4 linked regions of the Drosophila melanogaster genome follow. The main gene of each other region encodes a partner of the protein of the gene in region 4 in a complex. Each region holds a gene or a part of one and is shown on either strand. Other genes may lie near its edges.

Evidence for each region.
Region 1: fl(2)d (region 4) and Flacc share a complex: the UniProt entries of both Drosophila melanogaster proteins name them as parts of the WMM complex.
Region 2: fl(2)d (region 4) and vir share a complex: the UniProt entries of both Drosophila melanogaster proteins name them as parts of the WMM complex.
Region 3: fl(2)d (region 4) and Mettl3 share a complex: the UniProt entries of both Drosophila melanogaster proteins name them as parts of the WMM complex.

The regions. Positions count from the first base shown.
Region 1 is NC_004354.4:18,888,457-18,895,315, forward strand, and holds Flacc (Fl(2)d-associated complex component), read right to left. Parts: upstream 5,181-6,859; 5' UTR 4,997-5,180; coding exon 4,303-4,996; intron 4,230-4,302; coding exon 3,587-4,229; intron 3,405-3,586; coding exon 2,285-3,404; coding exon of another isoform or gene 2,213-2,284; exon of another isoform or gene 2,090-2,212; intron 2,026-2,089; coding exon 1,611-2,025; intron 1,418-1,610; coding exon 837-1,417; 3' UTR 522-836; downstream 1-521. Other genes in the region: SdhBL (succinate dehydrogenase, subunit B (iron-sulfur)-like), read left to right, coding at 6,206-6,437, 6,569-6,859. UniProt on the Drosophila melanogaster protein: Associated component of the WMM complex, a complex that mediates N6-methyladenosine (m6A) methylation of mRNAs, a modification that plays a role in the efficiency of mRNA splicing and is required for sex determination.
Region 2 is NT_033778.4:23,360,324-23,368,343, forward strand, and holds the start of vir (virilizer), read right to left. Parts: upstream 6,033-8,020; 5' UTR 5,932-6,032; coding exon 5,866-5,931; intron 5,801-5,865; coding exon 5,124-5,800; intron 5,065-5,123; coding exon 2,177-5,064; intron 2,124-2,176; coding exon 1,427-2,123; intron 1,371-1,426; coding exon 309-1,370; intron 245-308; coding exon 70-244; 3' UTR 1-69. Other genes in the region: Ice1 (uncharacterized protein), read left to right, coding at 6,781-8,020. UniProt on the Drosophila melanogaster protein: Associated component of the WMM complex, a complex that mediates N6-methyladenosine (m6A) methylation of mRNAs, a modification that plays a role in the efficiency of mRNA splicing and is required for sex determination.
Region 3 is NT_033777.3:24,030,429-24,034,761, forward strand, and holds Mettl3 (methyltransferase like 3), read left to right. Parts: upstream 1-1,728; 5' UTR 1,729-1,768; coding exon 1,769-1,907; intron 1,908-1,969; coding exon 1,970-2,263; intron 2,264-2,331; coding exon 2,332-3,725; 3' UTR 3,726-3,829; downstream 3,830-4,333. Other genes in the region: KrT95D (krueppel target at 95D), read right to left, coding at 66-340. UniProt on the Drosophila melanogaster protein: Catalytic component of the WMM complex, a complex that mediates N6-methyladenosine (m6A) methylation of mRNAs, a modification that plays a role in the efficiency of mRNA splicing and is required for sex determination.
Region 4 is NT_033778.4:13,819,103-13,826,070, forward strand, and holds fl(2)d (female lethal d), read right to left. Parts: upstream 5,452-6,968; 5' UTR 5,027-5,451; coding exon 4,690-5,026; intron 3,074-4,689; exon of another isoform or gene 2,664-3,073; intron 2,456-2,663; coding exon 2,331-2,455; intron 2,268-2,330; coding exon 1,934-2,267; intron 1,868-1,933; coding exon 1,053-1,867; 3' UTR 522-1,052; downstream 1-521. Other genes in the region: CG13339 (uncharacterized protein), read left to right, coding at 5,818-6,055, 6,109-6,329. UniProt on the Drosophila melanogaster protein: Associated component of the WMM complex, a complex that mediates N6-methyladenosine (m6A) methylation of mRNAs, a modification that plays a role in the efficiency of mRNA splicing and is required for sex determination.

The sequences.
Region 1 (6,859 bases), on a different chromosome or scaffold from region 4:
ACTTTCTACACACACACATACCCTTACCTTAACTGTACATCGGTGGACTCACTCATTTGGCTGCGATCAGAGAATCTGGAAGTCCGGAATCCTTGCTACGCTCTTTGCGAACAGCTTTTCCATCGCATGTGATAGCCCAGCACATACATACATACATTAATTAGTATTAGGTCTGGAGATTGGGTACCGCTAATCCTTAGGAGATATCTTAAGTTGTATAATGTACGCAGATTATTCCACGATGCCTGGCCTGAGTTGCTTATTACGAATAGCCTAACACACATACACGATAGCCGTTCGTTATGAATGTATGTATTTATTGAAGTAACATTTATTTTAACATTGTTTTCGGCACTAGGTTTCTTATAAAACTGTTCCAACGACGATATAATAAATCTACTATTAAAAATACCAAATGTTTCCCATCCTTTCGTCGCTACCACAAGCACCACATCCTTTCCAGAACTTCCGCAATGCATTGAGTTCCGAGCTCAGGAATGAAATGAAAATACACTCTGTTTATTGGGACGACACTTTATATTTCGAACATGTATTAATGCAGTTGATATTCACAATTTTGTATAATTCATAATCAATTTATAATCTACAATTTTTATAATGCAATTCATATTTCACAATTTTCACAATTTCCAAGTTTGAATCAATAATCGAAATCAAGTTATATCTCAAACATTAAGCTTATTCCTAAAATCCACCTAGTAGTGGTCTCGTTTCGTCGCCTTGCCCTTCTCCACGCCCATAAAGATCTGTATATCCAGTCGATAGTGACGTGGCTTTCGGTAACGCAGCTCTCGCTGCACGCCGGGCATCGGATCTCATTTGACATCCAGAAGCCTGCGCTGGAACATTTGCATTGCCAGGTTTCGCAGTCCCTCTCCCACGATGGGAACACTGCGCGGGAACTCGCATTCGCGTGCTGGCAATCCGCACAGCTGGCGGCGCAAGCGCAAATCCTGGCGAGCACTCAGAGCTCGGCTTCCCGGACCGCAGACATTGCCCACCAAACGCTGGCGCTCGACGGCGGCGCTGCGAAGACCCATCTGCACGCAGGCCAGTGGCTCCAGTTGCTGCTGGCTGGCCAGGAATTCGCGATAGTCGAGCAGTGGCGAGGGTATCTTAGCCGGAGGCTCCTCGTCTCCATCCAGTTCGCGCTGTTGGCCCTGTTCCTTCTCCTGGAGCAATTGCTGGCGCGCCTCCTCCATTACGCAACGGGCGTAGCCCTCGCCCGCCATTCCGAACGATATGCCCAAGTCGAGGAGCACGCGATATGGCTGCCATCTCTGCTTGGCGGATGTGCCGCGATCCACGCCCTGTTGGGCCGCCTGAGCATCGCTGGCCTGCTGACGGGTCTCTGCTATCAATCCTTGCCAGTCCACGCCCAAAGCATCGCCAATGCCTGCGGAATGGGAGATGGGAAATTACATATAACTATCGCCTCTAACTGTAATCATTCATCATTTCCACCTGACCATTGAATACTAATCAAATAAATGTGACCATAAATCCGAGTCCGAGTCAAGTATTGACAAGCATTGTGACTACCATGTTGTCATCGGATAAGGAAAAATGTTTATACATGAGTGACTCACCCTTGTGGCGTGCATCCTCCTCGAGTTCGCCATCGGATATTTCCTCAAAGTCCAGCACCTCGTCCCCTTCCTCGCCCTTGATCGGATGCCCAGCCACAATGTGGAGTGCCTCGCTTTTGACCTCATCCGCATTGGTGTCCATTTCCTGCTCCGTCTCCGTGGGCAGCTCGTTCTTGGGCCGCACCTTGTCCGTCTTATTGAGAATATCGTCATCGCTGTCGCTAATCTCGCTCAGCTCACCCTCGACGGCGCTGGTGCGGATTAGCTCCTGTTTAACTGGATTGCCCTCGGAAGACAGCGACTGATTCAGGTTCAGGCTCTGGGTCGGCGAATCTTGGGCGCCCAGTTCAGGTGTGCCTGCGGAGTCCTCGGACGCATCTTCCTGCTTGATGCACACGGTATTTAGTTTGCTTACCTTAAACATCGAATGAGGATTACAATAAGAGAAATTTATTACTAATGGAAAGTTATGGTTTTACCATTTCCGCTGGACAAAATGACTACGTTATTGCACAACGGTTGGTGAACAATTGATTTCGAATGGATGAACGTTGCACTCAGCTAACATAAACACATTTATATAATTATAAACAAAGACGAAATCATTGCCGCCAAATGATATGATAGGCCGCATCCGATGTCTCTGCAGCGAAGTAAACGAAAATCAATCGCACCTGAGCCAGTATTCCGGGATTGGTGGTGGCGTTGGCGGCGCTTTGGGCCGCAGCCTTAGCCGCTGCCACTGCTGTGGTGGCCGCCGCCACAGCACTCGCCTGTGCGGCAGCATTTGGTTTGGCCGCGTTGAGGAGTGGATTCAGGAGTGGTGTCTGCGTCGGCGAGACCAGCGGTGCGTGCGTGTGCTTCTTGAGGAAAGTCGACGATCCGGGCAGTCCGCCGTCACGGGCGCCCAGTGCGGCGCCATCTCGGCCAGATCCATAAGGCAATCTCTTATGGGGAAATCCGCGTGAGTAACCACCAGGCGGTTGCACCGGCAACGTCATCAGCGGTGGCGGATGCGATCGGTAACCGGGCCGCTCGCCGTGATCGCCATGACCGTGGCCTCCGCGCCGGAATCCTCTGCCGGATCCTCGTTCGCCCCTCGGATGCACATGGTGGTGCGGTGAAGCTGGATGCGGATGCGATGGTGCTGGCGGCGCGTCATCGTTATCCCGCCAATCACCTCCAGAATTGGACGACTGCTGTTGCCAGCCGCGTGGCTTTTCCCGCTGATCGTGCTCCAACCAAGCGGGCTCGTTTTTGATAGATGGCCTATCGCCGCCAGCGCCTCCGCCTCCTGTGTCCGGTCGATCCTCACGATCGCGTTCGCGTTCCCGATCGCGCTCTCGTTCCCGCTCTCGCTCCCGCTCGTCCGCATCCCAGTCGGGCTCCGAAGCAGAATGGTGCTGCTGCTGCGAGGGAGGTCCTCCGCCCGCATGAGCTGGGGGTTTGCCCCGCTTGGGTCCGCCAACAAAGCCACCCGGTCGCCCAGGGGTTCCACTAGGTCCGCCTGGGCCGCCACCAGCTCCCTCCTCCTCCCACTCGCGTTCCCACTCCGGTCGGAAGTCGCCACGGGGTCCAATATTACGTTCCCTTTCGCGGTCACGTTCTCGTTCCCGATCACGCTCCCTGTCCCGGATTAGACGTTCCCGCTCGTCCGGATAGAGGGTGTCTTCCGTTTCGAGGTCACGGTACTCGCGTCCTTGCAGCTCTCGTTCCCGCAACTCGCGTGCCTCCAGCCAGGCTTCTCGTTCCCGCGAGGAATAGCGGGCATCTAGATAGGCGCGTTTGTAGGCTCTAAAATAAGGAATTCCCAAACAGCGGATTAGCTAATGCCGATTTCGTGGCCATAAACATTAATGAGAAAAGGTTCCCGTTCTGCTACCTAGTTAACTATGTTCTAGGTAACAGAAAAAAGTAACCAAAATGGTACAGTTTCAGCTTTTCGTGGAATAGTTAAGTGCAGAACCTAAACCTACCTCTCCCGCTCCTCCTCGGAGTACAGTTCCCGCGGATCCCGCAGTCTGGGTGCATAATGCTCAGGCATGGGACTGAGGTCCCTGCGCCGATACCTTCGCATCTCGTCGATCAGCCCGTGGCCGTGTCGTTCCTCCAGATACTCTTGCTCACGCTCGTAGGGATCCAACTCGCGCTTATCGCGGACATGACGCCCGCTCCGTTCGCGCTCTCGTTCCCTTTCGACGGTGTCCAGCGATCGCTCCCGGCTGCCATACGGCGGAAGATCCAAGTCTCGACCGGGACCACCGCGTTTACCACCTTCCTCTTCCTCCTGACGACGCAACTTTTCGCGAGCCAAGCGTTCCCGCTCCCGTTGACGTTCTTGGCAGCGAGCCAAGGCCTCAGCGCGCTCCTTATCCCTGGCTGCCTCCCGTTCCGCACGCTCGCGCTCCCGATCCCGACGATCTCGCTCCCGCAATGAGAGATCGTGGCGTTCGCGCTCTCTTTCTCGTTCTCGCTCGCGCTCCCTTTCCCGCTCCCGTTCCAGGGACGGAGTACGTCCACGTGCGCGGGTCTGGATGATGATCTTCTCTCGCGACATCAGTTGGTGATGCATTCGCGAGGATGAGCTGCTGCTGCCGCCTCCAAGACCAGAACCTAAACCTTAAAGTCAAGCAAAATTAATGGGTTAGTGGGTTGAGCCTAGACATAACTATATGTAGTATCTGATAGTTACCTGGACTCTTTTGCCGCTTACCCACGATGTCCTGATGGATGCGAATCTTGGTGGTGGTGGTAGTGCTGCTGCTCGGCGGACTCCTACTGCTGCCCAATCGATGATGGTCTCGCTCTCTGTCTCGTTGGACGACGCGCAGCTTGTCCCGCTCCCGTTGCTCCTTGCTGGCAGCCCGTAGCCTCTTTCGCTCGGCCAGCTTCTTTAGCTTGGCTCGCGTCGTCGGCGACAGGGAACGATGGACGTGACCACTGAGGGCGGCGGCCGCCCGTTTCTTAAGGCGCGCTTCCTTCAGTTTCCGTTTGATATGATTTCGCTTGGCCACCAGCTTCTTTTGCACATGATCCCGTTTGTCTCGCTTGCGGCGCGACGACGATGGTTCATCTCCGGACGAGCTGCCGCCGCGCCGTGAGCTCTTCTTTTTGCGATGATGACGCTCCGCGGAGCGCGGATGATGCCCATGGCCGTGGGTATGGGGATGACCGTGGACGCTGCCACTGCCGCCGGGACCACCGGCGCCACCAGGTACGCCCACCCCCACGCCGACGCCGCCCACGCCCTGCTCGCTGTCCGTGCTGCTGTACGAGCTGCTCCCGCTGTCGGAGTCCGAGGTGGAGTCCGAGCTGCTCGAGTGCGTCGCACTGTGACGGGCGGCCTTCTTGTAGCGGCGCAGCGACTCCTTGGCCTTCTTCTCCATCGCCGCGATCTCCGCTAGCCTGCGCGCCTCCGTTTTGGCTGCTTTCTTTTCGTACTCCGGTCGAAAATCAGCACGGCTATGCGGCTTATAACTAGTTGCAGCGTGTCTTGTGGTATAATGTCCTTGTTCGGAGGCGCGGACTTGCCTTGTTGTCTATTTTGTTGGCGTTTTCTTTAACTCTTCTTCTTCTCTATTTTCCTCTATATCTTCGTGTTTGTTGTTATCGATAGTCGATTGGCAGGGCATCGCGACCATCGATTACAGTCAGCACGGCGGTACATATCGATCGGTATAAGTTTGAAAATATTGTTTATTATTGTATCACATTATTATAATAAAATATAATTAAATAATTAAGTGCCTTTAACTATAAATAAATATTAATTTAACATTAAAAATATTATTAAAATTAATAATATTAATTAATACTTGTATTTATATTAATATATTGTATTTTTGTAACAATTTCTGCTTAAAATGAGTTCGGTTTTGGATTGAATTACAATTTCTATATCAATTTACCGGTTCAGCAACGGGGATTCAAATCTGACTTGTTATCCATTTTTATACCCGTTACTCGAAGAGTAAAAGGGTACCCTAAATTTGTTGAAAAGTATGTAGCAGTCAGAAGAAGGCGTTTCCGACCATGTACAGTATATATATTCTTGATCAGGAGTCGATCTAGTCATGTCCGTCTGTCCGCCATGTCCGTACCTAGAAGGTTGAGATCCAGCATACAGATTCTAGAGACAAAGACGTAGCGCAAGTTTGTTGATCTTTTTTCGCATTTTTATTAATCTTGTAAATTTCTATCGATTTGCCCAGAAAATGATAAAATTTCGCGTTCTCACATCCACTAGCTGAGTAACGGGTATCTTATAGTCGAGGAACTCTCTTTAGTTGATTTAAATTCCACGCATCCAAAACATTGTATAAAGCAGCCTGTTCTACTACTCAGTTAAACTGAACTTTTCATTTCGAAAAGATTTTCAAATCCAGCTGGCTATGCCTCTAGTGTCAAGTCGTATTACGGGCACTTCACCGGCTTCTCCTCAGTTTTGCTACACAGTTCGACACTTCAACACCTCAACACCTCAACACCTCATCGCCTCGGCACACATTCTCTCTCAACAAAAAAAAAAAAAAAACACATATATTTTTATAAGTACACATTTTAACTTAAAGTCTCATTCATTCGCTCGAAAACCGATGAATTTGTTGCGCCGGCAGCCTCGGCTGCTGAATAAACGGAGCACGTGGCTGTTTAGAAATTACGTGTTGGCCAACAGGGATGTGTCCGAACCCGTTTCCCGTCCTGCGGCGCCTATGTCCACCCTATCGATACCCGGACCAGCGCTGGCTGCCGCCACCCCAGTATCCGCCGTATCCCTGGTACCCCGGTGCACCCACTCCAGCCTCCAAGGAGGTGGACAAGGAGCAGGTTAGTTCTAAGTGAAAAGTTTTCTGATTCCACAATTTTCTGGGTTGTCAATGACTTTGTCATAATGACATTTCATAAATGACACCTGCACTTATTGATATGCTTAACTGAAATTTCTATATTCATTAAAGGAGGAAGAGGGCTCAGAGGATCAGCCACCGGAGGATCAGCCGCCGGAGGAATCGCCACAAAACGACAGTACTCCGGAGGAGCAGCCCCCGCCGGAGCCGCCAAGCCGGGAGGAGCAGCCCCCGCCGGAGCCGCCAAGCCCGGAGGAGCAGCCCCCGCCGGAGCCGCCAAGCCTGGAGGAGCAGCTGCCGCCGCCGCCGGATCCGCCAAGCCCGGAGGAGCGTCCACCGGAAAGCCAGCTTCGGGCAACGCACCAGCAACGCCTCCACCTCCACCACCTCCTCCGCCTGCTA
Region 2 (8,020 bases), 9.5 Mb from region 4:
CTAGTTCTGGTTCGTTTGCCGAGTTTACGGGAAGTGTCAGTGAGAAGCGGGTTGGGCTGCAATGTCCTCCTATCTCAGGTAGGATGGCCTGGAACGCAGGCCTCGTCCACGCGGCCGTCCACTGTAGTGGGGCGACGAATAGTGCGAGTCGCTGCTACTGAAGTGGGAGTCCGAGGCAGACCGATACGATCCGGGGGACTCTGCCCAGCTGGAGGGCGAACCAATGCGCATCATCTTCTTTTGCCTGTTAAAAGAGTAAAAAGAGCCCATTAGCGTTATCCTGCTAAGTGGTAATCGTGACACTTTACCTAAAGGCAGCTGCTGCCGAGATTCGAGATCCTCGGTTGCGACCCACCCGGGAGCCTCTCAGCATTGAGGGTATCTTGTTGTAGCCGGTGGGTCCTGTGGGCTGGGCGCCACAAGTTTCCAAGGCCAGGAAGTCGTCCACGTGCAGCGATGGCGGTCGCGAGGTGTTGGGCGGCCGGGAGCGGAACAAATCGCCCCTGGAAGGTGGTGGCCGAGCAAAACCACGACCCCTTACCGACGACACAAACATCTTCTTTTCGGGTCGACCAGTCGCGGGCTCAACTTCCACACGGCGCGTGCGGAAACAAGGCGCCGTGGGCGTCATCTCCCGATTGGATTGGGGCGAGCCGGATAAGTTCATGACCCGCTTGCTATCGCCAGCCACATTCAAGTCCGGATTGAGGCACACGTTGGCCAAATCCGTGAGATCGCAGGCAATGCGCTCGTAGATCGGCTCGTTCATGTCCTCGATCAGTTCGATGGGCAGCGGGTCCAGCCAGTAGCGCGCCGTTAGTTGGGCATTCTCGGCGGTGGCGCAGAATCGCGTGAAGATCGGACGCGCCTCGTACTGTGTGACAATGCCCTCGGCCTGTGGCAGATAGGGCTCCACGGTCAGAGATGCACTGCAGCTGCTGGCAGATGGATTGGCTTCGCCCTCCGCCTCTGGTGGCGTCTCCGTACTGGTTCCGGCGAGAATCTCCTGCTTAGAGGCCTGCAGCAGGATCAGCTGCTTGAGGTCGCTCAGCGCCGCCTCATTGGCCACTGCCTTATGCTTCTCCATGACGGTGAGAATGCGGCTCAGCACCGGTGGCTTGGCCAGCTCAATGTCCTGGAACTCAACCAGCTGAGCCAACTCTGTGGCGCCCAGTTTCAGAGTGCGGTGTGGCATGGCCGACATGGCGGGCGGCGGTTCTATTTGGGTCAGAGAGCGCAGCAGCAGGATCAGAGATTCGATGTTGGCATTGTACTCCACCGTTTCGTTGTGAAGGATCACGCGCTCCATCCACGCCTGGAACTCGGTGATCTTTTGCTTCAACAACTGCGCCAGATGGTAGAAAGTGAAGCTGGCGGTATAGATAATATTAATATTAAAAGCGTGCGAGTGATATTCAGAACTTACTCGTGCTCCGTGAGGATGACCAGATTGCGCACCGCTAGAATCGATATGCCATGCGTGACCTCCACGCTTGTCAGGTTACTGAAGACCGCATCGATGATTCGCGGAATGAGCTCCTTGGGTGGCAGTGCGGCAGCCAGATTCAAAGCGGGCGAAGCCGTGCTCTTGTGCGAAATCAGCGAAATGCCCGAGTCTAGGAAACTGTCCAGAATGCGGTGAACGGCCTCCTGGCAGTTGGAAACCACGTCGTTAAACTCGTTCAGTGCCAGCAGCGACTGGAAGAGTTCCCAGAACTTTCCGGAGAGTATGGACAGCATGGAGCTCTTCAAAGGGGCAAAAGCGCACAAGCGAGTGGAGAAACGAAGCAGCCGTTCCAGGTTGGTGGTCGGAATACAGTTGGATGTCTGGTACTCATTGCACAGCAGTTCCGTGATCGTCTTGGCGATCAGCAGCGTCATGTTGGGCGCCAGGTCGGACAGTTGCATGCACACTCGCTGCAGTAGTTCGGACAGCTGCGGAAAACTGGACGGAGCCAGTGCCTCCACCAGCTTGGCGATCTGACCGCTCTGGGGATGCAAGTGGGCGGACCACAGTTTCCGCTCGGTAATCAGACGCTGCTTGTGCTGCTGCTGCAACTGGTCGCATAGCGGCTGGGGCATAGGCAGCGGCAGTGGAAGCAGCTCCGCCAAAAGTTTCAGTCCTGTACGGAAGGAATCATTAGATGGATCAGATCTCTTGCAAAGTCTAGCTTACCAGGAATGAAGTGCGCGGGACCATCGACATTCTTAAGCACCTCTCTGATCATCAGGGTCCAAAGGGACTTGTGCAGCGACTCCTCGTCTTGTTCGTTCGGCTGGGTGTAGGCGAGCAGGGTCTGGACCACCTCCATCTTGCACTGCTCCACCTCGGGTCCCGCCTGGCAGCGCGTGGGGAAGTAGTAGAGCAGGTAGTACACTTTCACCAGGTGATCGATGGCTGTGAGGTCCTTGTAGGTGCCGTCTCTGCACAGAATCGCGTAGGAGAGCAGCTCGCGGAGGATCTGTAGCGTTGGCAGCATGATCTGGCAGCAATGCACTCCCTGGATGGTCATCAGGGCGGGAGCGTGCGCACCCGGCTGCTCGAAGTAGGCGCATAGTCGCTCCATGATCTGGATGCAAAGTTGGACACCATCCGCCGCGTACAGCTGCAGGGCCACGAACCTATGTTTGAGCTCCTCGGTCACTGGAGGAGCTTTCTGACCTGCCAGCGGCTTGCTTATGGAGAGATAGCGCAAAATCCGCATGGCCATTATCAGATCTCCGGGAAAAGTGGTTAGGTAATCCAGGGAGCGTCCTATCACCTCCACCAGCGGCATAATGTCATCGTATACGAACACATTGATGGCCTCTAAGGGTTTCATGTACACGTACATCTCCTGCAGGACGGCCGACACCGAGGGCTCGAAGGTCTCGTGGTTCTTGGCCAGCTCCAGGATCACACCTCCGTGCTCGATAAGGTAGTCCAACTGCTCGCAGTAGCGGACGCAGGCGTCCACCATGTCCACGGCATAGCTCAATACCGGACTCTTGTACTTCGTGCCCGGCGAACTCAGCTGGCGTTGCGTCTGCAGACGCTGCTCCTTCTTGATCAGATCCATGAAGATCTTAAGATTGTTATTCAAGCCCAGCACCTCCACGGTGTGCTGCCGCCCAGCCGGATCGCAGGTTTGCGAGTAAATGGCATGCATATGCGTGGCCAACTTGACGGCATCGTATTCGGGAGCCGCGGCAGCGTAAGCAATGGCGTCCAGGTGGTAACGCGTCTGCACCTTGTACGACATTTCGATGCCCAACCTGGCCAGGCGTGGCAGTACTGGGCGCAGGATCGGCCTGGGTCGCACTTGAGGAGCAGCAGCTGGAGCTGGAACGGAAATCGGGGCCGCAACTGGCTTCCCCTCCTCGTCGGCCGTCGGTGGAGTTGGCTTCTCGCCTCCAGCTTCCACAGCTTCATTTTCGACCTCCATTGCCTTGTCCTCTGCATCCGACTTCTCTGCCTTCTCCTCTTTTTCCTCCGGGTTTCGAGGAACCTCGTCCAGGCCCAGCAGTATGGCCACAATCGTCTGCGTTACAGGAAAAGCATCATCCACGAAGTAATCAATGCCGACATGCGAGCGCAAAAGGGTGTGCATCAAGTCTAGCATGCTTAGATACGTCGTGGCCGGCAACTCCTTGCAGTTTGCCAACATGACCAGCAGGGATTCCGCCAGTGAGTTCTGTCCCAAGTAGGACTGCAGGGCATTTCCGAAACTGCGCTGCGCCGTGGGATCGGTCACCACCTCGAATTTCTTGGACACGGGCAGAAAGCGACGCGGCTGCAAGTAGCTCAACTGGCTGGAGAACAGTGCATCCATCAGCATCTCGAAGGCAAACTCTATCTGCTGGCAAGTTATCACTGTGTCCTCCATTTGATCGCGATTACCAGGTATGATTATTCGGTCCACGAAGAGACGACGGCACCAGATCTGTACACTCTCCAGGCCTTCCCACAAATGCAGCTTCTTTATAATCGCCTGCAGTGCGTACTTCGTCCTGGTCAGCTTGGCTGTCTTGATGGCTTCAACAATCATCTGATAGCCGTTGTTCTTCGCTCCCATAAAGTGTTCGATACCCATCCTGGTGTCCAGCAGGGCGTAGACGGCCTTGAGGAGCTGAAGCTTGATGGACAGAGCCATGTACGGTTCGTGGTACAGCCGGAACACCGCCTCAAAGATATCGAATTTGTGCTCTTTCAACAAGTGCTGGAAGAGCTCTTCGCTACTGCCCAGAAGTTCAGCCATTCGCGCACCCAGCTTGATGTGGCGGATCTTAAAAGCTGGCTGTGGTTGCATGCATGCCGCCTGGAAACTCAGGGCAATCTGCAGCACGTTAGCCGCCTGTCGCAGATGTAGCTCATCGTTTCCGAAGAACTGCTGCAGGACAAAGTTCCTCCGCTTGTAGTGCTGGGCTAGGTAACCCAATTGGTTGTTCAGTTGTTCACCCAAGTACACAAATTGCTCCCTTTCGTCCACACTAGCGCCATGTTCCTCGCTGAAGGCATTAACATTCTCACAGCGGGTTTGCAGGACCAGCTTCTTAAAGAGCAGCTTCAGAGTTTCCAGCTCCTTGCAGAAGTGGGCTGCCATGTCCCCTTCAAAGACCAACAGTGGCTTCTGCCACGGCTCGAAAGCATCGATGGCCGGAGGAGCAGCGGCAGCAGCAGCCTCCAACTCCCGCTCGTACTCCGCAATGGCAGCCGCATCCACTGCGTCGTCCTCCTCGTCGTCGCCGATGATCTCGTCGTCACTGAGAATGGGCTCAAACTGCTCTTGCGGCGTGCACGATCGGTCCTCATCGTCCCGATCCCGTTCACCACGGTGCAGCGACTCGGAGGAGTGCCGGTAGTGAGATGACTGCATCTTGTAGTGGGAGCGCGAGTCCTCGTCCTCGTAGTCCATCGTGTCTGGCGAACGCGGACGTGTCGGTGAGTCTATCGACGCGGGCGGGGTTCTGGGCCACTTGTGCTCGTCCACAACGGAGCGAGATCTCTCGGAGCGCTTGCGACGTGACCGATGGCTGGAATACTCCGGTGAACGCGACCAATCCCTGGAGCCCTTGTCGCGGGAACTGCAATGAAAGGTCTGTGATAAGTCTGAATATAATAAATAAAACAGATAACCACTTACCACCTGATGTACTCCCTGTCGTTGCTCTCCGAATGCGTGTGCGATCTTCTGGGCGGTGGCGGTGAGTGATCCGTGGAATGCGTGGACCGACGCAGTCGTCGCATCTCTCGCTGCTCCTGCTCCTCGGCATGCTGGTGGTAATGATCCCGCGACATTCCATACTCCATGTCCTCCGGATCGTAATCGCTGACATTTCCTTTGTGAGCGGTCAGCAGTTCGGCCTGCATCGGCTCCTGCCACTCGTCTTTCAGCACATCCTCCTGGAGGAGCACCTCGCCACTCAGGTTGGCTATCTCCGGGCCCACGGGCTCGCAGGGCAGCGTTGGACTGGCGATTGGCTCGGTCACCGAGTTGGTGAAAATGCCGTAGATGGCCAGTGTGATGGTGCTGTACCAGCCGCGCAGCACCAGACCGTCGGTGACGATCTTCTCCTGCGAGCAATCCAAGTGAATGCAGTCGTTCTGGTTGTAACGCAGCAGGCCGAGGTTCTCGAATGCCGACGCAGCCGGCATTCCCAGGTCATTGACGAAGAACTCCAGGTCGAACTTGGAGGGGTTGGTGGCGCCCAGGCGAACGCCGCCGGGAAAGTCTGCCTGGACTCGGGCGCCGAGAGGAATGATCCGCACCTGTGTGATGAAGACCGGCTTGGGAAACTGCACCAAATCCAAATTGATGTCCTATGAGGAGAGGAGGAAGTGGGGTTCAGCGAATGCACCGAGTGGGGGCTTCTGGAGGCACTTACCGTCACTTCCTCATGCGAGAAAGTGTCGAAGAACAGCAGCTCGGACCCGTCGTCTACGTCGGCCATGTTGTGTGCTTAAATCGAGTCTTTTTCAGTAAAATCTTCTACAGTCCGGAAGTTTTATTTATTTTCCGCAACTGCTAGGGATGGAACTTAAGACGATAAGTGATCGATATCATCAATTGCTCTACTACAATTGGTAGGGGTATTCAAGAGGGTATGCTTTAGAATATGTTGAATACATCTTTAAAAACTAAACAAAAATTGTCTCAGTCTAGTAGCTTGCGCAAAACAATGCATCAAATTTTAACGTCACAATTGGCTCATGTCTAGAAATGAATTGGATTTTTTCTCAATATTCCCCATTTTTGGTAATGATGCTCTCAATGTTTTCTAAAAGATTGTAAAATAGCCCTAAAAACCATAGGCTTAAACCTAACGCAGGGAATCGCACTGATTCAGAGTACATTTGTTTCCCTTCAATGGACGCACGCAAATCATGTAAATTTAGTTATTATCAGTAATTCAAAATTTACTTCCTCTACAATATTATCAAACTATAATTCGAACCTCTTATTATAAATAAAGTGTGAACTATCAAAAACGAAGTAGTGAGAACGACCTATAAGAGTTCCATAAAATAGTCCCATACCATATATATCGATAGGCTCGTGCTGGGTTGTCGATAAGGGAAATGTTTTGGAGACCGGCTGCAGAGAAAAACGCGGATTTTGTTTTATTTCTCTGTTTTGTGTATTAAATCGCCAGATGCGCAGCTTAATATTGTCCAACTCGTGACCGACTAGCGAATTGTGTGGAAAATGAGGATTCTCCTTGTTTTCTGCAAGTTCTAGAACCGCAGTGGCGCTTGAACACGCAACCACGTGAAATCCAGCAACAACAAGTCTGCGCAACATGAATTTGGACGAGTTCTCCGACTTCAATATAGATCAGCTTCTGGGCCCAAGCGCACCGCTGCAAGATGCTCTGGTGGCGCCGTATAAGCAGGTGTCGCTGCCCAGGAGCAACCAAGATGTGTACGCCAAGCGAAGCCGGCTGGCCGAGCGAATAGCCCAGAACGACGAGCTGATCCGCCAGGTGAAACAGCTGCAGGCTCAAAACAAACAGCTGGCCGACCTGCAGCGCACCGCCCAAGAGGTGACGGATCTGTACCAGAAGGAGAAGCAACAGAGGATCGAGCTGGAGAAGCGCACCAAGCAGATCGGCGAGCGATGCGGACAGCTGGAAAAGGAGCTGGACGTACAGGTTGGGAACTGCGAGAATCTGCAGGAGCAGCTGCAAGTGCGGGGACTACCCGTGGAAGCCAAGGATGTGCTGTCCATACTCATGCAGTTCTCCCAGCGGCTGGGCGACGATTGTGGACTTTTGCGGCGGGATCAGAACATCATGAAGAAGCTAAGGGAGCACTGCAAGACTATAGACGTAAGCGTGCCCACGCCAAAGAGCCCGAATTCACGTAGCAAACGGAAAGCCCATCAGCCCGGAGTCAACCAATCTACGCAAACCGACGAGGAACCCGCTGATCCCAAGCCCGCGCTTTGCTCTGTTGCTGTGCAAGTGGAAGGTCTGATAGAGACGCGCAACCAGGCCACGCAACACAAGAACACCACCACCACCCGGGGAACCACTACAGCCTCCTTCATCAAGCACCACGATGTGGGCACATGCTTTCCCGAACCAAAGCCCCTGCCAAATATTCGGCAGATACTTGATGAAATGCTATCGTGGCGAGATGATGTCGTAATTGAGCCCATGAGTCCGCTGAGCGATCTGCAGCAGGAGTTGCAGCTCGAGGACGTACCGACCAATGCGAGTGTGGCCACCTGTACCACTTTGTGTGATATACACCGCGAGATTGATTTCGTTACCGACCTGCCGACACAAATAAAGGTGTCCGCCTCGAGGCCGCCCTCACGAACAATGCTGGATAGTGTAAAGGAGGAGGCCAGATCCTCCAGGGAGCTCGCCAAGGAGCTGTTCAACTTTCTACCTCAAAACCAAAGCTGCCTGACCAATCTGCCGCCGCAGGCCTTCGAGGAGCTGTGGCAGGTCTTTGGCCAAATGGTGCTTGCCCTGCTGCAGAGGCGCTCCAATCCGTCCATGGCCACGCCACCAAGCGTCAGTCAGGCGGATT
Region 3 (4,333 bases), on a different chromosome or scaffold from region 4:
TGCTTTTACTGTCCCTACGTCGCATTTTGTATGTATGTACATAAGTGAAATTTGTTTACACTCACCTTGGGATGCAATTGGGCGGCGTTCGGTCCACTTCCCAGGCGGCGAATAGCTTCATGGGCACCGGTTTCTGGCCAGTGGTCATTCCTGCTCCGGCGGACAAGCCAGCCGTTCCGGATATGCCACCAGATCCGGAGACTCCTCCTCCGCCGCCGGAACCGCCGCCTCCTCCGCCACTTTGCAGGTTGAGCGGACCGCCTCCAGGGCCGCTGCCGCCGGTGCCGCTGATTACGGCAAATTTATCCACCAACTTGGACGACTTATCGACCATCTTCATGTTGTTTCTTTGCTGGTTCCCGTCGAAAGGTATTTTTTGTGTTCTTAACTGTTGTTTATGTACTTGGGGTGCACATTATTTCGATGCAAACTGGGGAATATATGTCGTCGAGCAGGCACATAATTTTCAGATTTTCTGATAGTTTTCACAATTCAATATTTCGAAAGTTTTTTTTTGTCGATTTTCTGGTTAGCCCGCCAATACATACATATACACACGCACGAACGGACATACACGCACGTTGGGGAAGGGCGTGCCGCCGCCTTAAAAAAAGAAGCGAAGAGCTGTAGTATACACAGTGAAAAACGAGGGGTGGTTGGTGGGTGTGTGGGTTTCTTCTTTCGTTCTTTCTTTCTTTCTTGTTGTTGTGATGGGGCGCGCGCTGCAACTGCACTCGCACTGAATCAATATGTATGTACGCGCTGCGGAATCTGTTGCGGATTAGACAGCTCCTTCTCCTCGGCTGCTAGCGACTCGGAATCGGATTTGGATTCGGAACGGACTCGGAAGCTGCTGCTGCTTGTGCTGCAGCTTTGGATCGCGTCGAAAGTGCCGCGAACGAACCGTCATGCTCCAGAGTAAAAGTGCGAATGTCGCGTTATAAATCTGGCCCCAGTTCAGCTGCCTCACTCTCGCTCTCTCTTCTCTCTCTGTCACCCTCTCTGTATCACGACCCAACAATAACAATGTGTGCAAATGCTATGTGCACACACACACATAGACGAGATTTTCGCAAATCCCCACTTCTGTGTACGCGCGTGTGACTGTGTTTGAGTGCGCGCACTTAATGCTTTGCTCTCTCTTGCGCGCATAAACAAAAAAGAAAACGCCACGAATTTCGGGGAGCAGGCAAAAGGCGGCACTCGCTCTATTTCTCTTCAGCACTCGCGCGCGTTTTTATCGCGAGTCGATCACAGGTTAAACTGATTGGGTTATTATTTACGATTGGAGCGGTTTTCATCAAATATTTATGCGTTTCGGCACGTTTTATTTGGCAAAATGTTGCGGAGCAGCTATGTTGCAGCTTCCGCTTTTTGCGATGGGGAGCGGAGCAGTGTGGCCAGAGCGGATTCCTTGAAAATATCAACTGGGCGGTGCGGGTAAAATCGTATATACCAATCAATAAATAACTGTGTGTGGTCCAATAGATCATACAAATTAGAATAAGAAATATAATGGGGGCACAGCAATGTTAATACTTTCAACGTTTTTTAATTTTAATTTTGAATACCAGCCTACTTCCAACACTGGCCCTTTTAACGTTCTTGATGGTAATTTAAAATTTACTTGTGTAAAATGTATAAGTAGATTACCTTAGTTTAGTATTTTAATGTAACGTGTTTACCTGCAATGTGAACACGGTCACACTGCGAGCCTTTGTAAAAAAAATTTCATTGTTTACCAAAGGCCGGCAGCGTTTTATAAACAATGGCAGATGCGTGGGACATAAAATCACTCAAGACAAAGCGGAACACGCTCCGCGAGAAGCTGGAAAAGCGCAAGAAGGAGCGCATTGAGATTCTCTCGGACATTCAGGAGGATCTGACGAATCCCAAAAAGGAACTCGGTGAGCACCGGCAATGGCAACAAGTTGGAGCCACAAAAATGAATATATTTTTGCATTTCCAGTTGAGGCTGACTTGGAAGTACAGAAGGAGGTGCTGCAGGCCCTCAGTTCCTGCTCCCTGGCCCTGCCCATTGTCTCCACACAGGTGGTGGAAAAGATTGCCGGCAGCAGCCTGGAGATGGTGAACTTTATTCTAGGCAAACTGGCCAACCAGGGTGCAATTGTGATCCGGAACGTGACCATCGGCACCGAGGCCGGCTGCGAAATCATCTCTGTGCAGCCCAAGGAGCTGAAGGAGATCCTGGAAGACACCAACGATACGTGTCAGCAAAAGGAGGAGGAGGCCAAGAGAAAGTGTGGGTCTCACAGAAATTACTACTCTCATAAGTCTAATAATTATAATAATTTGCTGTTGATTTTACAGTGGAAGTCGACGATGTTGATCAGCCACAGGAGAAGACAATAAAACTGGAGTCCACTGTAGCGCGGAAAGAGTCCACAAGCCTGGATGCTCCGGACGATATTATGATGCTGCTATCCATGCCTTCCACCCGCGAAAAACAGAGTAAGCAGGTGGGCGAGGAGATTCTTGAGCTGCTTACTAAGCCTACGGCCAAAGAGCGATCCGTGGCTGAGAAGTTTAAGTCCCACGGCGGAGCGCAGGTCATGGAGTTTTGCTCCCACGGCACAAAAGTCGAGTGCCTGAAGGCTCAACAAGCCACCGCCGAGATGGCGGCCAAAAAGAAACAAGAAAGAAGAGACGAAAAGGAGCTTCGCCCGGATGTTGATGCGGGCGAAAACGTCACCGGTAAGGTACCCAAGACAGAATCGGCAGCCGAGGATGGAGAAATCATTGCGGAGGTTATAAACAATTGCGAAGCCGAGTCGCAGGAATCCACCGATGGCAGCGATACCTGCAGCAGTGAGACAACAGACAAGTGCACCAAACTGCATTTCAAAAAGATCATCCAGGCTCACACGGACGAATCTCTGGGGGACTGCAGTTTCCTAAACACCTGCTTCCACATGGCCACCTGCAAGTACGTGCACTATGAGGTGGACACCCTGCCGCATATAAACACAAACAAGCCCACGGATGTGAAAACCAAATTGAGCCTCAAGCGCAGCGTAGACTCCAGTTGCACGCTCTATCCGCCGCAATGGATTCAATGCGACCTACGCTTCTTGGACATGACGGTCCTGGGAAAGTTCGCTGTGGTGATGGCCGATCCTCCCTGGGATATCCACATGGAATTGCCCTACGGCACAATGTCGGACGATGAAATGAGAGCACTGGGCGTGCCGGCACTTCAGGATGACGGCTTGATCTTTCTGTGGGTCACTGGACGAGCCATGGAACTTGGCCGCGACTGCCTCAAGTTGTGGGGCTATGAGCGCGTGGACGAACTCATCTGGGTAAAGACCAACCAACTGCAGCGAATTATTCGCACTGGGCGCACTGGTCATTGGCTAAACCACGGCAAGGAGCACTGTTTGGTGGGCATGAAAGGCAATCCCACAAACCTGAACCGCGGACTCGATTGCGATGTGATCGTTGCGGAGGTGCGGGCCACCTCTCACAAGCCGGATGAGATTTATGGTATTATCGAGCGTCTAAGCCCGGGTACTCGCAAGATCGAGCTCTTTGGGCGTCCGCACAACATCCAACCGAACTGGATAACCCTGGGAAACCAACTGGATGGCATTCGACTGGTGGATCCGGAGCTAATTACGCAGTTCCAGAAGCGTTATCCAGATGGTAACTGCATGTCGCCAGCTTCTGCCAATGCGGCGTCGATCAATGGAATACAAAAGTAGGATTAAAATAGTATTTGCTGTATGAATTGAGACCTCGACAAGCCAGAGCTGTGTACAGACTCAATTATAGTAAGATAAATTATTATTAAAGCTTTTACAAACCGAAATGGCTTATGTGGAACATTTAATAATGAATGAAGGCAAGTCCATCATGCAGACTAAAGTTAAATTTGCCCTTTTGGGAATTGAAATGACTTAAACATCAAATGCCATTAAATATCACTATATGTTAATCCACACATATAGATAGGTTTATTGCTCATACTAGGGGATTTGCGCGTATTTACAAAAGTGCGATATCACCGAACCCGGTGATTCTCTAGATGTCGTATATATTGGTTTATATAGAACGCAGTACGTGTACATATCACTATCAGCTATGCACGATATTGGTTGTTTCGTTACTCGAATATGCTGGTAACAATAGCTTATTTGACTTATCAGAGAGAACATGGTTTATGTAAGTTAATATACGATTAGAAATGCAGCGTACACAATGTGCTCGACTGGCCACTGCTCCAGCCCAATTCCTGCTAGTGTACTTGATGAGTGTATTTACAAGTCAGGAATGAGAGCATCGGCATGTGTCCGTTCATAGTTTGCTTTAG
Region 4 (6,968 bases):
GACAAACAAACTCTCAGCCGAAAGGATATCTCCTCCGATCGGAACAGAACTCGCTAAGCTTTAGACACCCCACATTTCCCCATGGTAGTGTAATCAACTTGTGCCATTCGAACTGCCTAGTATTTGTTATTAACTATTTAATATGGAATCGGAAGTACGTTTAACCCCCTTGCAGGTTGTCTCACCACATCCCTACTCATTTTGTACATTTCGATTGAAAGTAGGGTAAAGCAAATATCAAACTATGCCAAGCTTGCAGGCCTCTTTACCAGAACATTTTAGCCCGATCTCAAGTTTAAACTCTTCTCACAGACACAAACGAAACAAAGGATACAAACACACTCGCTGGCAGCCACAATTGTACTACATACATAAACATATTTCGAATTCAATCAAATACAAGTAAAACCATTTGTCTAATGTGCTAAAAGAAGAAACTGATAATAAACACAAGATAATTTCGAAAATCAAAACGATTGTTTTGCTGGGCGGCAATTGAAATTAAAGGACACTGGTTTTTTGAAATATTTGTTATGCTTAACAATTTATTTTAACACAAGTTTATATTATTTTACACAACTTTCATAGTATTACAAAAATGCCTTAAGTTGATAATTAAAACCTAATTTTGCTAAATGACAAGTTTTGTTTTGACCAAGCTTTCTTTTCAGCTTTTCAGTAGATGCCGTGGTTAAAAAACATAAATAGTGTATCAGTTTTTAGCATTATCATTTAGCTCGATCGTATTATTGTAAATATATGTGCTGAAGTTTTACACTGTTCTACATAATGCATTTCGTATGTAAAGCAGTGACTTCTAAATAATTTGCGAATTATGTATGTCTACGCCGCATGCAAACGAAATAATAAACGTATTTTACAAGACAATGTGTAAAAAAAATTAAAGAATCTAAAAGATAGGTTAGAAATATAAAATGAAGTCTCTCTCTGTTTTGAAATCTCAATTCACAAAAGTAAACGTCAGGAATTAACGATCAATTTGACGAACTCATATGGAGTGCACCCTTTTTTGGAAAAAGGTTCGCCAGCGCTTAGGTGGAGTAGTCGACTGCTCCGCTGCCGTTCTGCTGCATGCGGACGGACCGACGACGGGTCAGGATGCGGCCCGGTGCCGCCGGAGCACCTGGATCGCCGCCCTCAACTGGGACACCCACTTGCACTCCCGTTTCCGGGATTATTCCCGTATTGCTGTTATTAACAGCCGCAGCGGCGGCAGCAGCCTCTTCGCTCGCCATTCCGGCCACAGCGTTGTCCACGATCATGGGGACGGCCACTGGTGTTGTCACTGGCTGATGATCCTCCTCCAGCTGGGAGTTGCGACGCGTGGTAATGCCTCGCAGCTTGGACTTTTTGGGCGGCAGAGTACGTGGGGCGGTAACTTCCCTGATGGGCGGCGCTTCCTGGACGTTATTTCCTACTGGGGTGGGAGTCGGCACCACCACTACCGTTGGAAGGGCTTCCTCCTCTTGGTAGTTTCGTTTGCGGGCTAATCGCGCTGCATTTCCGTTCATATTGCTGCCATCATCCGACAGTGGTATCTGTGGCACGGCCGCGATCTGTTCGTTGTTGGTATTCCCATTGTAACAATCCGGATTCGTTGGGTTATTCGCCATGCAAGCGTCCTCGTGAATGGTCTCTAGCTTATTTATCGTCGTGTTGGTGCCACCGTTGGTGGCAGCCGCTGGAGCCACAACCTCATCCTTGATGGCCTGTTTCAACTGGGCGTTCTCCTTCTCAAGCGTTTGTATGCGATCGCGTGTGGTCTTTAGTTCTTGCTGCAAAAACAGAATGGTGCTCTGCATGCCCTCCACATCCTCGTCCAGCTCCTGCAGGAAGTCGTCCAACTCTAAATGGTAAAGGAGTTTACATATCTATAAGTTTCGATCCCAATCCTAGTTCAGATTTAACCTACCCGACTGCGATTTCTTGACCTCTTCGCTGAAGCTCTTCTGCATGGCCAGTTCGGTCTCCAGCTTGGCCAGTCTGCCGTTGGAGGTCATCTTGCCCAGCTCCTCGTTCTCCTGATAGAGCAGTCGGCACTTGGCCATTAGGCGTTTGCCGGTATTAGAGTCCGGCGTGAACTTCCATGCGGACAGCTCGTTCTGGGTCTCCTCCAGCTTGGCCTTGGTGGCCTTAAGTTCCTTCTTGAGCCGCTCGAACAGGAGATTGACCGCAGGATCGAGCAGAGCAGTGCGCAATGCGAGGGCAGTTGGCGCCTGTTGGGCCTTGTACTCGGCAATTTGGCTCTAATGGGGATTACGGGTGCATTAGTATTTGAGAAATTTGTGTATATTAAGGCGAGTACCCACCACATAGTCCTGGAATTCTTGCTCCTTGTTGGCCAGCCGTCGCATGAGGATCTTCTCGCGTCGCTGGGCGTCCGCGCATTGCTGAGCCATGCGGACCTGTTCCAGCTTGAGATTCTCGATCTCATCTGCGAATCGAAGGATAAGGATTAGCTAATAATGGGGTCTAGATAACGGGCGTTCCAAGCTGAGAGAGCCACTGTCTTTTTTTTTTTTTTTTGGTTCGCACACGAGATATAACAATATCGTACTATATATACATAGATATTTTACAAGTTCTTAATGGGCAAGGCAAAGTGTTTGTTTTTTTAGGTGGAACTTAATACGAAATCATACCAATGCGTTGCAATCATTCGTGTAAGTTCGTGACATGGTCGGTGGAAAAGGCCGCATCCCGTCGTCAATCTCTGGCTGATAATGATATTGATTTAGATTTTGATTCGATGCGAGTGTCACAACTTGAACCACTTGAACTTGGACAACACGATATCGATTTCGGTATCGAATTCGCTTGCGGTTTGGATTTCGATTTCGATTGCTTCGTTATCTCTGGCATTATCATTGGCACTTGAATAACTTGAACACCTGCCATTATTTGCATTTTGATTTCTTGCTTTTGCTTATGCATTTGCATTTGCATCGAACTTGATTGGCGATTGAATTTGAATCTTCGCGGCATTTTCGAACTTGCATACACTGTGGAAAACAACGATGACTGATTGGTATACATATTTTTTGTGGCAAAACTGAAAATATTTTTGAAAAACACTTGCAAAAAACTCGACGCACACACAATGGGCTTTCGGAAGCTTTTTCGTATGCCTATGCATGGATGTATGTATGCATGGATTTCAAAAGCTTTTCCCCTTCTCTTTTTTGCGGCATTTTCGAACACTCTTTTGTCATACAAAAAGTTTATTGACTTTGCATTTTTTGTTGGATTTGTTGTGCAAACACGTACATATATAACTTCGCTTTTGTATTTACTTAGCCAAGCAATTATTTTATATTTATATATACTATTTGATCGGGGCAAACAAATGTGTGCATGTGCGTGTGTCCCACATTGCATGTTAATTGATTGATTGGCGGCCAATTAAGCGTTTAAAAATCAATTAAGTAAGCTTAACAATTGTGAATATACACACTCACACACAAACGCACACATGTTCGCCGTATTTTGGCGCCATTTATTTAAACATTTGTATTTGTTTGAACACACGAGGCAATGTTTTTTTCATTTGACGTTCACTTCTTTAACACAATTTCAACAGAAAAAGAATTTCAACTTTATTTTCTCTTTGGTTATGCACTGTCACATTTTCAATTGATTATTTAATATTATTATTTATATTTAGGCGCGACGAAAAGAGCGTGAGGGGCGCGAAGAGAGAGAATAAGATGGGTCCAGGGGGTGGGGCAGGGGACGCAGACACGTTGGCTCTCTTCTTCTCCTCTCCACTTCTCTGCTGCTGTGCTTCTTCTTCTTCTTCAACGGGCACGTAGGCAAACGAAAAGTGGTCGCAAAACGAAAACTGTACACCGCAAAAACGACGGAAAACGAGGAAAATCTCCGATTAGGATTCTCTACTATTATTACTTGATATGCTCTATTCATTTGATGTTATTATCAGCCCGGTTTTCTCATTAAGATTATATAAAATCTTAAACTTTACTTCGTTAACCTTATCTTCTTATGATTCATTTTATAATTTTTTATTTTAAGTACGATTGCTTTCAATATTAAAGCTTAGCTCAGCTTACTGGTTATAATTGGTTACGATTCTCATATATTATTTATGATTATTTAACTCATATTTTATATTTTAGATAGTTCTGTTGCACAACACTTTGTAATCACTTGATAACTTTAGGCGTCAGTTGCCTTTTAACTTAGTTCATATTTAGGTATTATAGATTATTATATGCATGGTCCTTTTTGAAAGCACTTTCACTACATTCGACGGTTTGCTCGAGGTGGTGTTGAAAAAAATAAATAAATAAAGTTAACCAAAACGCCGCTGAAAGAATGTTCGTTGCAAAGAGTGTTCGCTTCGATTCGATTCACATAATATATACGTTGAGTTCTTTACCGAGTGTTTTTCATAAACAAATTCAAATGACACAAGAAACCCAAGTGGAGTGGGGGCAGAAATAAACTAAAAGACTACGTTTACTTGTTGTTTATATATTGCATTATTTATACAATTTACACAGAGTCAACACTTTGGATCGTGGTTTTTTCCTTTTCTTTTTTTTTTTGTCGGTATTCGAAACGAGTATGTATGTAGTATATAGGGGGTATTATATAGATCAGATAGATCTCTGATCATATAGCAGTGTACCAAAATGTGCAAAATACCTTCGAGCAAGCGCTGTCGCTGTTCGGCGGCTGCAACAGCCTCTGCAACAGCTGCTGCATGTTGCTGCTGCTGCTGTTGTTGCTGCTGCTGCAAGTGTTGCTGTTGCTGCTGCTGCTGCTGCTGCTCCTGATGGTGATGATGGTGCGGATGCGGATGGTGATGATGATGGTGGTCCTCCAAGCCGGAGGGCGTTGGGGAGGCGGGGCCGCCAGTGGCCCCACTGTTTTGGCTGCTGTTTAGGATATTTAGGTTTTGCTCGTATTTGGTCGGGGGCATTTTGTCGTAACTGTTCATACAGGGTCTTTGATCGTCCATAGTCATTGCAGCGACACTCATTATTTGGATATTAAAACGCTGTGCTTGTTACTCTTGCTGTTGTTGTTGTTGTTGTTGCGGGTCCTTTGCTGGCGTTGTTGCTGTTGCTTTTCATAGGGGCCGCTCGCTCGCTCTCACACACGCACGCAAACACACACACACACAGGCGCTCTCACCTCCTCCAATACCACACGCACACACAGGCAAGCTATCGCTCACACCAATGGCGACGCGTATGGCGAACGTTTTGCAAAACGTTGATTTCGCGTACTTTTCGCGCTTGCTCAAAGCTTAATTAATGATTTATATCTTTATTGTCCTTTAATTCACACTTTTCATATGTTTTGGGTCGGTTGGGCTCACTTTTACGGCGATATTTTTTAATTTTTCTGCGCTGCGAGCTGATTTCTCGTTTGCTGCTGTTAACTGTTGTTCGCAATCCAACATGGCGTCGCTGAAAAATACCAGATTTGCCATCGACACAAATGCAGACCTGGGGTGCGTGGCTCGGATATGGGGTAGCGGAGACTCAACCCAGTTCCGTTCACACTGCCACAAATTTTGCCAAATAATTATTAGATAACAAATTTATTTAACTTCTAAATTGCACTGATAATTCCTTCCTTACGTCTACCGCCATAGCTTTGCATCCAATACTAACGATATTTACATAGTTAGAAATAATTAGGAACAATCAAATACAAGTGAGAAAGTTGTATCTTACGTTACTGTTTATTTTTTTGTAAGATTTATTTAGGGGTCACACTGGTGGACTGTTTTGGATATTGTTTTTATATTCAAAACGCAAAAACATGGCAGAAACCACTGGTGTGCAAATAAAACTGGAACAGCAAAACATCAAGGAGCGCCTGAATCTGCACGTCAAGCGGCGCCTGCAGCAGGATGCGGATAATCCCGCCGAGAGTCCCGAATTGCTGCCCACCGATGCGAATGCCAAGCGCAGCAAGACGAAAGATGTCTCAAAACCAAGAAAACCCTACCAAAAACGGACAGAAAAACCGAAAACAGAGGCGACCAAGTGCAAGAAAGGTATTTAAGTTGATTAAGCAATAGATTCCCCCAAATACATTGTTATTTTGCAGTTGGACAATTGGGCAGTCCGGCGGGTGAAGTGGATCCAATGGATGACCAGGAGACGGAAGGCTTTTCCCCGGAGGCGCCGGATGGCAAATCCGCCAGACGGGATTGCTGCAAAAATGCCGACATCCTCAACATAGTTTTGAACGCTAAGAAACGTAGTTTAATGCAGGATCCTGAAGTTCAGGCCTTCTGGACCGAAATAACCAATTGCATAAAGGGCTGAAAGCTTAACTGATCATAAGGGTCATTAGATCATAAGGAAATATTGTTGATGTTCGGGATATTTGTTATATGAACAACATTAAATATCTAATATTAGGGCTGTTGTACAAATATGTAAATAAAATAAAATAAGTGTTAATCCAAAAATTGTTCTATTATTCTAAATAGTTTCTAAATTTGTTTAAGAACTGGAAAAAAGCTACAAAACAAGTGCATACATTTGATCTATATAATGTGAAGAAGTAGTTAACATTATATAATATTTCAGTACAGATTTATAGCAGAGCAAAGCCGGCAGTTTTTCGGATTGATATCTTCAGTTCCAACCCTATTAACATAATGACATGAACCGACATTGCAAAAAAAATATATTTGTTTTAGCTATAAACAATCTGATAACAATATTGAAAGCAATAATACTCATTTGAAATTGAAATTTCTAGCTACAATGCTTTAAAATTAAGCAGTACTTTTTAAAAAATTTTCATTTTGTAGAAGCCAAGCAAAAATATTATGAAATTTATAACATAACATTGTTTTGAAAATGTTTTTTAGTATCTATAAAAATCCAATCCTCAATCGGTAATTTCTAAATTTTGAGAGAGAAGTAGTAAGCCTAGAAGTTTTAAAATACTTTTTT